Linked DNA regions of Nothobranchius furzeri. The protein of the gene in region 3 binds, or shares a complex with, the protein of the main gene of each other region. Links are inferred from orthologs where the notes say so. Each region holds a gene or a part of one and is shown on either strand. Other genes may lie near its edges.

What was found.
Region 1: nup58 (region 3) and nup93 share a complex: the UniProt entries of both Homo sapiens proteins name them as parts of the p62 complex. The link is inferred for Nothobranchius furzeri from reciprocal best matches to the Homo sapiens genes NUP58 and NUP93.
Region 2: nup58 (region 3) and nup62l share a complex: the UniProt entries of both Homo sapiens proteins name them as parts of the p62 complex. The link is inferred for Nothobranchius furzeri from reciprocal best matches to the Homo sapiens genes NUP58 and NUP62.

Annotation. Positions count from the first base shown.
Region 1 is NC_091744.1:86,665,021-86,669,394, reverse strand, and holds the start of nup93 (nuclear pore complex protein Nup93), read right to left. Parts: upstream 2,931-4,374; 5' UTR 2,776-2,930; intron 1,719-2,775; 5' UTR 1,715-1,718; coding exon 1,536-1,714; intron 1,362-1,535; coding exon 1,244-1,361; intron 1-1,243. UniProt on the Homo sapiens protein: Plays a role in the nuclear pore complex (NPC) assembly and/or maintenance. May anchor nucleoporins, but not NUP153 and TPR, to the NPC. During renal development, regulates podocyte migration and proliferation through SMAD4 signaling.
Region 2 is NC_091754.1:20,876,536-20,880,583, forward strand, and holds nup62l (nucleoporin 62 like), read right to left. Parts: upstream 2,667-4,048; 5' UTR 2,476-2,666; coding exon 1,033-2,475; intron 953-1,032; coding exon 794-952; 3' UTR 615-793; downstream 1-614. Other genes in the region: pdk1 (pyruvate dehydrogenase (acetyl-transferring) kinase isozyme 1, mitochondrial), read left to right, coding at 3,465-3,573. UniProt on the Homo sapiens protein: Essential component of the nuclear pore complex. The N-terminal is probably involved in nucleocytoplasmic transport.
Region 3 is NC_091747.1:56,994,428-56,998,080, forward strand, and holds part of nup58 (nucleoporin p58/p45), read left to right. Parts: intron 1-873; coding exon 874-956; intron 957-1,091; coding exon 1,092-1,293; intron 1,294-3,653. UniProt on the Homo sapiens protein: Component of the nuclear pore complex, a complex required for the trafficking across the nuclear membrane.

The DNA.
Region 1 (4,374 bases), on a different chromosome or scaffold from region 3:
AATTGTCTAAATAGTCATTAGAATATTCGACTATTCGATAAAATAATCGTCAGAATAATCGTTTACCCCCAGCCCTGACAGACAGACAGACAGACAGACAGACAGACAGACAGACAGACAGACAGACAGACAGACAGACAGACAGATAGACAGATAGACAGATAGATAGATAGATAGATAGATAGATAGATAGATAGATAGATAGATAATAGATAGATAATAGATGATGGATAATAGATAGATAATAGATGATGGATAATAGATAGATAATAGATGATGGATAATAGATAGATAGATAGATAGATAGATAGATAGATAGATAGATAGATAGATAGATAGATAGATAGATAGATAGATAGATAGATAGATAGATGATAGATGATAGATGATAGATGATAGATAGATAGATAGATAGATAGATAGATAGATAGATAGATAGATAGATAGATAATAGATAGATAGATAGATAGATAGATAGATAGATAGATAGATAGATAGATAGATAGATAGATAGATAGATAGATAGAGATAGATAGATAGATAGATAGATAGATAGATAGATAGATAGATAGATAGATAGATAGATAGATAATAGATAGATAGATAGATAGATAGATAGATAGATAGATAGATAGATAGATAGATAGATAGATAGATAGATAGATAGATAGATAGATAGATAGATAGATAGATATAGATAGATAGATAGATAGATAGATAGATAGATAGATAGATAGATAGATAGATAGATAGATAGATAGATAGATAGATAGATAGATAGATGAATAGATGGATAGATAGATAGATAGATAGATAGATAGATAGATAGATGATGGCTTGCCAAGCTAAAATCCAAGGGGATTATTTCCAACACTGAGCTCAGAATTTTAAGTGTTTTTCTTTTCACTTATCTCTGATAAGAGACTGAATTAATCACAATTATCTAGTTTTACAGTGTTTGTTATGAGCCCTATAACATCAACCTTCCTGAAAGCCTCACTGTGTCACAGCACAGAATCATATTCCACTGATGTCAAGGGAATAATATAAGCAATCAGTTAGAAAACATTTGGCAGCCTTAAGTCCTGTTGGGGATGTTTAAAAAGGCTTGGCACACGCAACCATTAGAGCATTAAAAGTTTATCTTATTCATCTTACATGAGGCTTGCACTAGTAAGGCATCTGAAGCATTAGAGACTTGCTAGCAGGTGTCAGGACCCAAGGCTTCTCGTTTCATTCATACCTGTATGTCAGTGTCCTTGACTGGTTCCAGGGGCTCAAAGGTGGTGGCAGCACTTAGAGTTTCCAGTCTCTGTGAAATGTGGAAGACGTCTAAACCTCTGGTACCAAGGAGGATGGACCTGTTACAAGAACAAAAGATTGGAGAGGTTTCAACTGGCAGAGAAGTAATTTTACATTGACACCACTAGATGGCAGGCTAGGCTGGCAGGCAAAGTAATCTATCAATTGAACATCATGCCTGAGATTAATAACCTGGGGAAGAAAAGGGTTTAATAACCAAAAAGGTTGCTTACGCTTTCACATCTGCAGCATCTTGAGAGGTGCGAGTTAAGGTGCGGGATCGAAGCCTTTCCCCAGCCTGCTGGATCTCCTGAAGGTTCCTTTCCACATGTGGCAGTTCAGACACAGCTTCTGTTTCTGCAGCCAATTGTTCTGCCTGCTGCAAAAGCTCTCCAAACCCTTCTGCATCCATGACTCTTAACAGGTAGAGAAGTTTATAAATGTGATTTACTTGAAATGAAAACACTGAACAGTTCTCTATGGTAAGTGTTTTGCGGGTCTGGGTTTGTGCAATAAAATATTCCACTAAAAAATATATAATATTTTCATAATTTGCTTAACTTTAAAATAGTATGTGGAATATAAACAAAAATACGTTGTGATTTTACAATGTTTGACACTGTACAGACTTTGTGTTAGAGGTAATTAAAGACAACAGATTACATGACAGGATAGCTTGCCAGTATCTCTGTCAGTAATGACAGAGTGCAACTGTCTTGAAGGGAACATGATGCTCCGTAATCAAATAGTAAACAACTACAATCACAATCATTTCAAACTCCTTAGTTAAAAAACAACTGAACCCAAAAACATACTCTATGTTTTACAGTTTATGATTCATCTTAGATGCGTCAGCTCAGAGCCCAAAGAAGTCAATGTTCACTTTAGACAAGTGTGCACTTCTACAGTCACGTTATAACTTTTATGATGCATGGATAAAAGCTCCTCCTTGCCTTGCAGCTTTTTGATTAATTAAATAAAAACAAGTTTACCCTGTGTTTACATTGAGATACAGCATAACTGAAGATATAAAACACTACTTTTAAAAATTGGATGGTCTAACCTATAATTCTTTATGCTGCCTGGAGTTATAACAAACTGTACTATTTATCTACCAACGTAAAAATGCGTCATGGGGGAAAAGGCTTGAAAGGTAAACATGAGAAAGATTACAGCTGAACAGTTGCAGCGCGCGCATGATGTGCTTGACGAGTTGAGAGATCAATCTTTACGGACGTCAACAGAATACCGTTCGATAGATAAGTTCAGACATTGAAACTGCTTAAGAAATGTGAAAACTCGTACCAGACATTCCAAAACCGTGGTAGCATGCTACAACATAGCCTAGTTACAATCAACCGGCGACGCTAAACGGTTAGCGAGCTGGCTAAGATGCTAACGCTCGCACATGTTTCGACTTCATTTAAATTGATGTTAAATTTCTCTACAGTTGAATGGAGACGATTATTATACCTGTTTTAAAGTTGGATGAAATTACAGTTCAGCCTGTTCGCCTCATGTAAGTGAATAAATGTGCTTTTTAGATAGTTTCGTTCACAGGCAAGCGTAGTCCGCAGAAAGTATACCCCGGTATTTCTGAAGTCGTCGGTGATTGGTCAATTCAGACTGTATAACGGTGCGCATGCGTCTGTCGTCACATGCCTCCTTCAGGGTACTTGGGGAATCCTAGTCAAAAGCAAAAGATACCTATTATTTTCATGTGTGTCATTTTTTGTTTTCCGACTAACATAACATATTTAACAGTGTACATATTTGTTCTTTGTACGTATATTTGTATCCCTGCATTGCTTTAAATAGAACTTATATTAAAAATGATTAGAAGCATCGAGAGTAAAATACTTGGGACACATCACAACCCTAACACCGTACACGTGAAATAAATGAAACAAATCTTTTCATTTTTCATTTATCCCTGCCACTTGTCTTAATTGATACTTTTAATAAACATATATATTTTAAATGACCTAATACAATGCAGCCAATGGAATGATATTTTCTGTTTGTTTTTTTGTCGGCTCTAAACAAAAACACTGAAGCGTGAATCACAAAGAGCAGATGGGTGCTGAACTCCTGCTTCCAGACTCAACTGTGCAATGATCTGGTCATCTGGGGCACAAGCCCCAGAGCTACTTCATTATGTAACACAGTTTATGGGCACATGGACATAGCTGCACAACTGTGTGACGTTTTGTGATAAAACAAAAATCTTCACACAAACTTATTTTGTTCTTGTTCCATGAGCTGCATACGTTTCTGTCAGTGAAATAATTCAAGTGGCACAAAATTATTTAGAAATGAAAAATCTGACATTATTTGAAACAAGAGTGAAAGAACGTGCCACAGAAGTTTTTCTTTTAAATGTCCATATAAACTCAACATGTCCTCCTTTAAAAACAATAAAAGGTATAGAAATTAATGAATGAGCTTGTATTTATACTAGTATATAGTAAGTTATTGATGCCTTCACATATTGATGCTATTTTAAAAACATAAACACCACCAGAGAATGGAAAGCTCTTTTTTATCTGACATCTTGCGACAACGTTGTGATCTTTTCTGGCACGCATTGTTCTAAATCATCCTTTTTATTAAAGCTCAAGTTCTTGTGAACCACTGTTTAACACGTGTTACTTTTTGATATTCCTTTTTTACATCATAGTTGTCAAAGAGCTGATTCATAAAGTGTAATATTGTAAAATCATCTAATTTTGTTGTGATCCAAAAACTGGACTTAGAAAAATAACTTTTTCATAATAATCTTTTTAAATAGTTCTAATACTCAATAAATACATTCTGTTAAACCATCTACCTGAATTTGACATTAGTTACTCCTAAAGCTGGATTTACAATTTCTAAATAATTACTGATGATCTATATCCATGTTTTTTCTCTCCAGGTATGTAGTTTATAAGAAAAATACGCTATAAATATATAAATATACAACAAAAATGATAAAAATTCAAGATTCTGAAAATGAGACAGCATCCTGGAAAAATGTCTTACAGAATAATTACAATTTAAATGAAGATAAATATATAAAATTCACATCTG
Region 2 (4,048 bases), on a different chromosome or scaffold from region 3:
TGCTTTGGGTGGGAAGCAGCGGATGACAATGAAGCTCTTATTTTTAGCAGATTCTGCAAATTAGGACAAACTGTAGTCCATTTTTATATTTGTGACATGGCTGTTTAATTTCCTGGGAATTTTTTACTGTAGAAATGGTGAATTGTATTTTTTAACATTGTATTAGAATGAAAATCTCAAAGTGTTTTGCAACATACCTGTGAGGTTGGCCAACATGTTCTACTACCTTATCTGGAGCTGTTAAGAAAACCAATGCTTCTGCTTGTCAGTGCGCCCCAGGGCAGCTGTGGCTACATCGTAGCTCATCACCATCAGTGTGTGAATGGATGAATGATACACTGTAGTGTAAAGTGCTTTGGAGTCCTTACTCTGAGAGGTGCTATACAAGTGCGGGTCATTTATCATTTCTTGCACCCGCCTCCTTGTGTTTTTACATCTAATCTAGGGCTCAGGTAGAATTAAGCAGCTTGTAGATCATTACTGAGACAAATTACAGTTAAAGCTCTAAAATGATTAAGTAATTTAGATTATTTCAACTCAAAAAGTCTGGTAGATCTTTCATGTTTCAGATTAGATGTGAGAATTAGAGTCATGACACACCACATCAGGCTGAATGAGATCCACTGCAATTGTTTTATTTAATCACACTACCCAGAACATTTAATATGATCAATTAACTTTATAAAGAACTATTGAGAAAATATTTATCTTAATAAAACCAAAACAGAAAGTGAAATGAGTAAATCCAAACAAAAGAGCATAATGTTTATGCAGAGTTAAACTCATCAACAGATCAGTCAAAGGTTAAACGAAAGCTCTTCTCCTGCTCCTTGCGTTGGGTGTCGCAGAGTTTAGACACTTCTTCCACTCTTCTCTGCAGGAGAACCGAGTTCTGGTCGATCCACTGCAGCGAATCCATGTGGGCGTTGAGAATTTTACAAATCTGCTGGAGCTAAAACAGAGAGAAAGAGATGAATGAAAAAGGCAAACATCATAATGACAGGTTTAAGGATGACTTAGATCTGATCTTACTGGGTCACTGGAGTCAGCTGGGCCGCTGGATGTGTTCAGGTGCTCAATTATCTCCTTCAGGTCCTGAGACATCCTCTTCAGCTGTGCGTCTACGTTCTCAGCGAGCTTGTATGTTCTCTCACGCTCCTCATCGGCATTCTGCATGTAGATGGTTCCGCTCTGCTCCTTCACGGACTCCTCCAGCGGACACAGCAGGTCCTCCAGCTCCTTCTGCTGGGACAGGATGAAGTCCAGCTCCTGGTTCAGCCTCCTCTGGTCCAGCTTCACCTTCTCCAGCTCCTTGTGCAGGGATGTGATCTTCTCTCCGTTCTCCACCAGCATGCGGTCCCAGGCATTCACCTGAGTCGCTTGCTGTAAGAAATGTCTTTCTTGGTCCTCCAGCTCAAGACTCCACTTGTTTATGAGGCTCTCCAGCTGGGCATAGGTCATCACAGGAGGAGCAGTGGTGGTGGTGGTGCCGATTGTTGTGGCTGTTGTGGTTGTGCTTGTGGTGGATGTAGTTTTGAGTCCCAGTATGAAGCCCGTAGCTGTGCCTGTGGTGGCGGCTGCAGTTAGGATGGAGGCCGGAGCAGAGGTGGTGGTTGCTGAACTCAGAGGTTTGAGTGGGAAGGATAAGCCCCCTCCAGCTGCTGTGGTGGTTGCAGTGCTCACCGATGAAAGTGGAGCCGAAATTGGAGCTGCACCAAACATGAATCCTGGAGCTGCTGCTGTAGTGGCGGCGGTGGTGGTTATGGGTGTCGCAAACAGAGTAGGGCCTGGAGTCGGAGCCACCTGGGTGGTTGCTGTAGGGGCTGGGGTTGATGAAGGTTTAATCCCAAAGTTAAAACCTCCACCCTGGGTGGTTGGAGCTGCAGAGGCGGTGGTTGCAGGGGTTCCAAAGCTGAATCCCGCTCCTGTGGCAGCAGTGGGGGCTGCAGCTGAGGTCACCTGGACTTTGGGAGCACCAAAACTGAACCCTCCAATGGACATGCCACTTGCTGCTGTCGTGGCTGTGGGTGCTACCACTGACTGAGGCTGGACTTGTGTGGGAGCACCGAAGGTGAATCCTCCCCCGCTTGGTGCCACTGTTGCTACTGCTGGTGCAGCAGCTGGGGGCTGCGAGGTTAGCAGGCTGCCTAAGGTGAACCCTGACCCGGCAGCCGGAGTTGCTGCAGAGCCCAGACTCAACCCTGTTGCTGCCGGTGTTGTCTGAGGGGTAGCAAGAGCAAACGAGGCAGTAGGCGTGCTAAAAGACAACCCCGTGCCGCCTGCGGAACTCTTGGCTGGGGTGCCAAAGCTGAAAGAGGCGGTGGGGTTGGTCTGGTTGGCATTTCCAAAGGCGAACCCCCCTCCCGGAGCTGCTGAGCTGGTTAATGTAAAACCCGCGTTGGGGGCAGCGGCAGTGGTCTTCTGCGCTCCAAAGGCGAACCCTGCATTCTGTCCGAAGTTGAATCCGCCACTCATTATCCTCACAAGAAGTTAAACACAGCCGTTACGTGTCGTTTAAAACGGCCACTTCCTTGCCGAATCTTGTGGCTTTTGGCGGGTCGCTATGACCAACTCCTCCGACTGAAGTTCCTAAAATCCCCACTGCGTCTATTTAAGTAACTTTGCACAGATACGCAGGAAATGAATGAAATCACACGCTAATCAACGTTACCTTCCGAGGAATATAGAGCCAAAATCAATAACACATTGCTAAAAACGTGGGCCTGTGAACCGACATTTCCTTTAACAGGCAATTATCTGGCCACCTAAAGGAAGTGACGACACCCGAGACGCGGCATTCTCGTATGCCCTGAATTTTGTCTGCAGGGACATAATTCCGCCTATTAATTTATTTGGCAACTGTTTTATCCAATCAGAGTTATGATTAGATTTGAGGTACATGATAGGCTCATTTGACTGCCTGATAGACAAACATTCGGAAAAATATATAGTTTGGCCTTTACAAAGAGTATGCAAAGGCAAGATAGTTACAGAATAACGAGCACTATCAACTCTTCTTCTTTCATACACACGTGAATAAAAGACATTATTTAGGACATTATCGTGCATTTATACGTCTTTATTTTCGCAATTTACCGTCAATATTGACAATAATTTTAAATACAGCCTTTCAACAGAACTTCGTGTCGGTATACGCCAGGCAACAACGATGAATCCTCTTGAACTTTGTAGTAACTCTTTGAATTAGCTTGTTGACTTTTCTGCTTCGGTGGATTTAGCAGCGATCACTTGAAGTACACACCGGACGATACACAAACATTGCAGCGCGGCCGTAGTTATGGATGCTGAACCTGCATCAATTAGCAACGTAACTGAACAATAATAAATTTAACAGCGTGTTTGCGAGCTGCTGGGTTTGCTCAACGAGCTAGTGTCGTTAAATAACACTAAGTGTGGCTCGGAAGCCACCTGCTTCCTCCGAATAACTAGTAAACCCGGTCAACATGAGGCTTCTGAGGTTTCTGAGGAACAGCGTGTCAGTAGGGAAGGATATCGATTATTACTCCAGATTTTCTCCTTCCCCTCTTTCAATGAAGCAGTTTCTGGATTTTGGTGAGATGTATTCATATAACACTCTAGGGATGTAAAAATAATTCAATGCACTGAAATATCACAACATTTCGGTTTATGATACAGAATCGATATTTAAAAGCAGAGTATCTATTATTGAGAATTTACATGCCAACATTTCTTGTATTTCTTTTGTGTGGTGCAGATCAAACACTGACAGCTAGGTGGCAGCAGTTTCTTCCTCCTTCAGTCTGACAGACCGATATCTTGCGAAAACACTGGAATTGTCTGAGTTTTCCCAGTTAAATTCACTTAAAAATTGCAAAAATAGTCAGCCTTTTAGTATCTCAATATATCGTATCGTCTCTCCTGTATAGCAACATATTATATTGCTAGATACTTGCCAATTAACACCCAGTTTTATCTCAAACTCTTCGGTGTTTCTTGATGTCTTGGTCCTGCCCCGGTTGCCTAGGAGATACGTAATCAGGTACCGCCAAGGCGTGTTCCAATCATC
Region 3 (3,653 bases):
GTATCTTTCAATGTTGGCTGGCTCCGTGTTTTTGTTAGAGATGCCGCTGCGAACTGAGACTTGAGCAGACCGACGATTCGCTGTGGCGACACCTGAAGGGATAAAAGCCGAATGAGAACGTAGTTTGTTTTGAAGCTCGTCTTTTCCCGCATGTGGAATGTCCAGTATGCACACATTACATCGCCTTCGCTGTCCAGTTTAAAATACCACCAAAATATTTAGCTTTCCTGTGGAGACGCATTAGCTCTGTGTTAGCTTACTAGCTACTAGCATGTTATGGCGTCTGATCCTCCGTCTGCCGTAAATGGTGACGTAATGGTTTTGTTTTCTTCCAAAAAAACAGACTACTGATGTAGAGGAACTTGTTGAGATTAATAATAATAATAATAATAATGCATTGAACTTATATAGCGCTTTTCTAGACCCCCAAAGACGCTTTCACACACTCTCACATTCACACACTGCTAGTGATGGTAAGCTACTTGTAGCCACAGCCGCCCTGGGGAGGTCTGACAGAGGCGAGGCTGCCATTTGGCGCCGTCGGCCCCTCTGACCACCACTAACACAGGCAAGTTGGGTGAAGTGTCTTGCCCAAGGACACAACAGCAGGATACCCCTGGCGGGAGCTGGAATCGATCCCATGACCCTCCAATCATGAGGCAACCCGCTCTACCACCTGAGCTACTGCTGCCCCAATTAAAACTAAGCCATTGTTATTCCGTTTGTAAATCTCGTCTTATTTGTTGTTTTATGAAGTTAAATCTGATCTTTTTCACCCGATTCTGATCCTTTAAAATTTATGTGATTGGATCGGAGCATCCTTATTACAAACTCGGGGAAATCTGGAAAATGCTCTTTTTTCTCTATTTCTAGATCTGACGATGGCCATGCAGAAGTTGTACCAAACATTTGTTGCACAGGCTGCCCAGCTTCAGTCTGTCCATGAGAACGTTAAGGTCCGTATTTAATAAAGATTGTTGTAGTTTTGTCATTTGTATAAGAAGCTCAAGATTTCTACATTTTACGAAACAGTTTCATCGTTATGTCTTTCTCCTGTCCTCTATGTTCCCCTCTGATCTGTTGTCTGATAGATTTTGAAGCACCAGTACCTTTCCTACCGAAGAGCCTTCCTGGAAGACTCCACGGACATCTTTGAATCCAAACGGGCGTCTAACAGGAAATGGCAGAGTTCGCCGCGAGTCACAACCGGGCCCGCCCCCTTCTCCAGCGTACCCAACGCTGCAGCTGTTGCTATGGCAGCCACGTTGACCCAGCAACAGCAGCCAACTCCAGGTCTGACTGCCTTCAAGTTCTAGAAAGTTCTCCTCTTCCTCACCCTATTTATGATTGGGAAGAGACGTATTAAATCTGACATTTTGGTGGTAAAACGTTGAAAAGGGGCCAGAGAGGAGGATTCAGAACAGTTGGTCAAAACGTTTTTGACGCAAAGTTGTGTATACCTTCCGTTTGAATGTTGTCAAAATGGGTTTGGGGCTTTTGCGGTGATTTAGACGTAGTTATCAAACATACTCCCAGAGTGATCAGTCTAAATATTGTGCCAATCTGTAGGTTTTTGTACAACTGGGCGAGGAGTTGGTGTTAAACAGCGTTCGATTCATCAGAATGTAACTTTCTTCTGTCGAGGCCAAAATACGTGAGATTCAAAAGTAGAACAAAGCCGCTGTTGTTTCAAAGCACATGGGTTGTTCAAGGTTTAGAGAACTTTTGCTTGAAGTCGTCGTTGTAAATACTTGGAACAACTTGAGCTGGGAAAATATCTCCGATGCCTCGTTAAAGTGTTACCGTTGTTAAAATTGTTGGAACAGGCAAATAATTTTAAAGAATGTTTTAAAATAAAAGCTCGGAGGTGTTTAAAATTGTAGATTTTATTTTATTTCATTTTTTTTTAAGTTTTGGTTAATTATCAGGGCACATGAACGAACAAAGCTACGATGTACATGAGCACGATGCCGTTAAAGGTAGAGCTTAGTCCAAATGTTTAAAGCGATATTTAAACAGGACCGTAAAGACGGGGAAGTCTGCTGCTTAATCTGCTTGTTAAGGGAATTTCATTATTTTTTTTAATGAAAATTGCTTTCATACATCGAATTTCTCTTGCTTGTAAAGCAGGAAATGTGGAAACTTTCTTTTTACTTCATCACAAACAAGTCTCGTAAAAACCGAAGTTGAGATCACTTCATGTGTTAAAAGTGCCTACTTTAAATTTGTTGATGCATTCCTTTTTTTTTTAAGCCAAATCAACGTCTTCATATTTTCTTGTACAGTCGTGAGCTTGTGCCCGTTCTCCAGTAGGTTGTTTTTACAAGTTAACCCTAGAAATAGTTAAAGGATGGGATTAAATATCATAAAATTGCATTTCTCTCATTAAGTGTTATCTTTACTGCTACATTTTAACTCTTAAAACAAAGCTAAATCACACCTTACATTATTTATTTAGCTATTTATTGTAAAATATATATTTTATATATATTTATATAGCTGAATCACTCTTGAGCAATGCAGGCGACTGGTCTGAGATCCATCGAGAGGCGTCTAGAAGCTGTAATCGCCAGCAAAGGCTTTTCTACAAAGTACTACATGAAGGGTATTCAATACTTATTCCCTGTGCCATTTCGCTTTATTTTTTGACTCAACAGTTGTAAACGTAAATGTTCCAATTCCTTTGCATCAAATCAATATTTGGCTTGATGCAACATCTGGTGCAAGTTGTCAGTAGCCCACTTAGAAATACCCTTACTGATAAAAATGCTGATACTTATTCTCCTCATCAATAGTTGGGAGTATCCTTGTTGGACATGTTGCATGTCTTCAGACAAAATGAAAAAGGCTCAGATCTGAGATTATAAACCTGAACTGAAAGGCCTGATCACTTGTTGCTAGCCTCAGTAAAGCGGAGTGATCAGTGTGTTTGTAGAAAGTTGTGAACAAATAGCTGAAGTTATGTTTTCAGTTACCTGTAGCTCCTTTTTAAACCCTAATGCTTCAGTCCTTGTACCAGACCACATGAAAGGCATTAGTTCTGTTTTACTCTGTGAATCCTACAGGCTTGAAAACGGTTCGTAAACTTGAGGAAGGAACCGGTGTTTATGTATTAGACCACTTGGCAAAAAGAAATAAAATTCTAAATCTGTTTTTTTGGCGGTTTATCACCTGCAGCTTTTCACTGACACTCAAATCGGATGCTTTTATCTTTGTATCTATAAAAAGCACCAAAGATATATTTTTGGATCCAATGGGGTAATATTTCTACCCATTATTAGTTAAAGCATACATACAGGAAAATGTTTATTTATATAGCATTTTTCACAGACAAAAACACACAATAAACAACAGAATTACAGTAAAACATTAAATGAAACAACTGCATTACAATAAACTCGGATACCAATAAAAGTGGTAGGTGACTCTTGGCGATCTGGGATTATGGAAAAACAAACTATAAATGATAGACTAGTGGTGGGGAGGGAAAATGGAAAAGACAGCCAAAACTAAAGCTGAGGAGACTGAAGGTGTGTAAGCAGTTTGGGGAGGGCGGAGGTGGCAAAACGGACCGTAGATCAGAGATCTCCAAGTCAGGTCCTCGGCGTCCCCTGTCCAGCATGTTTCTGTGGTTTCTCTGCTCCAACACACCT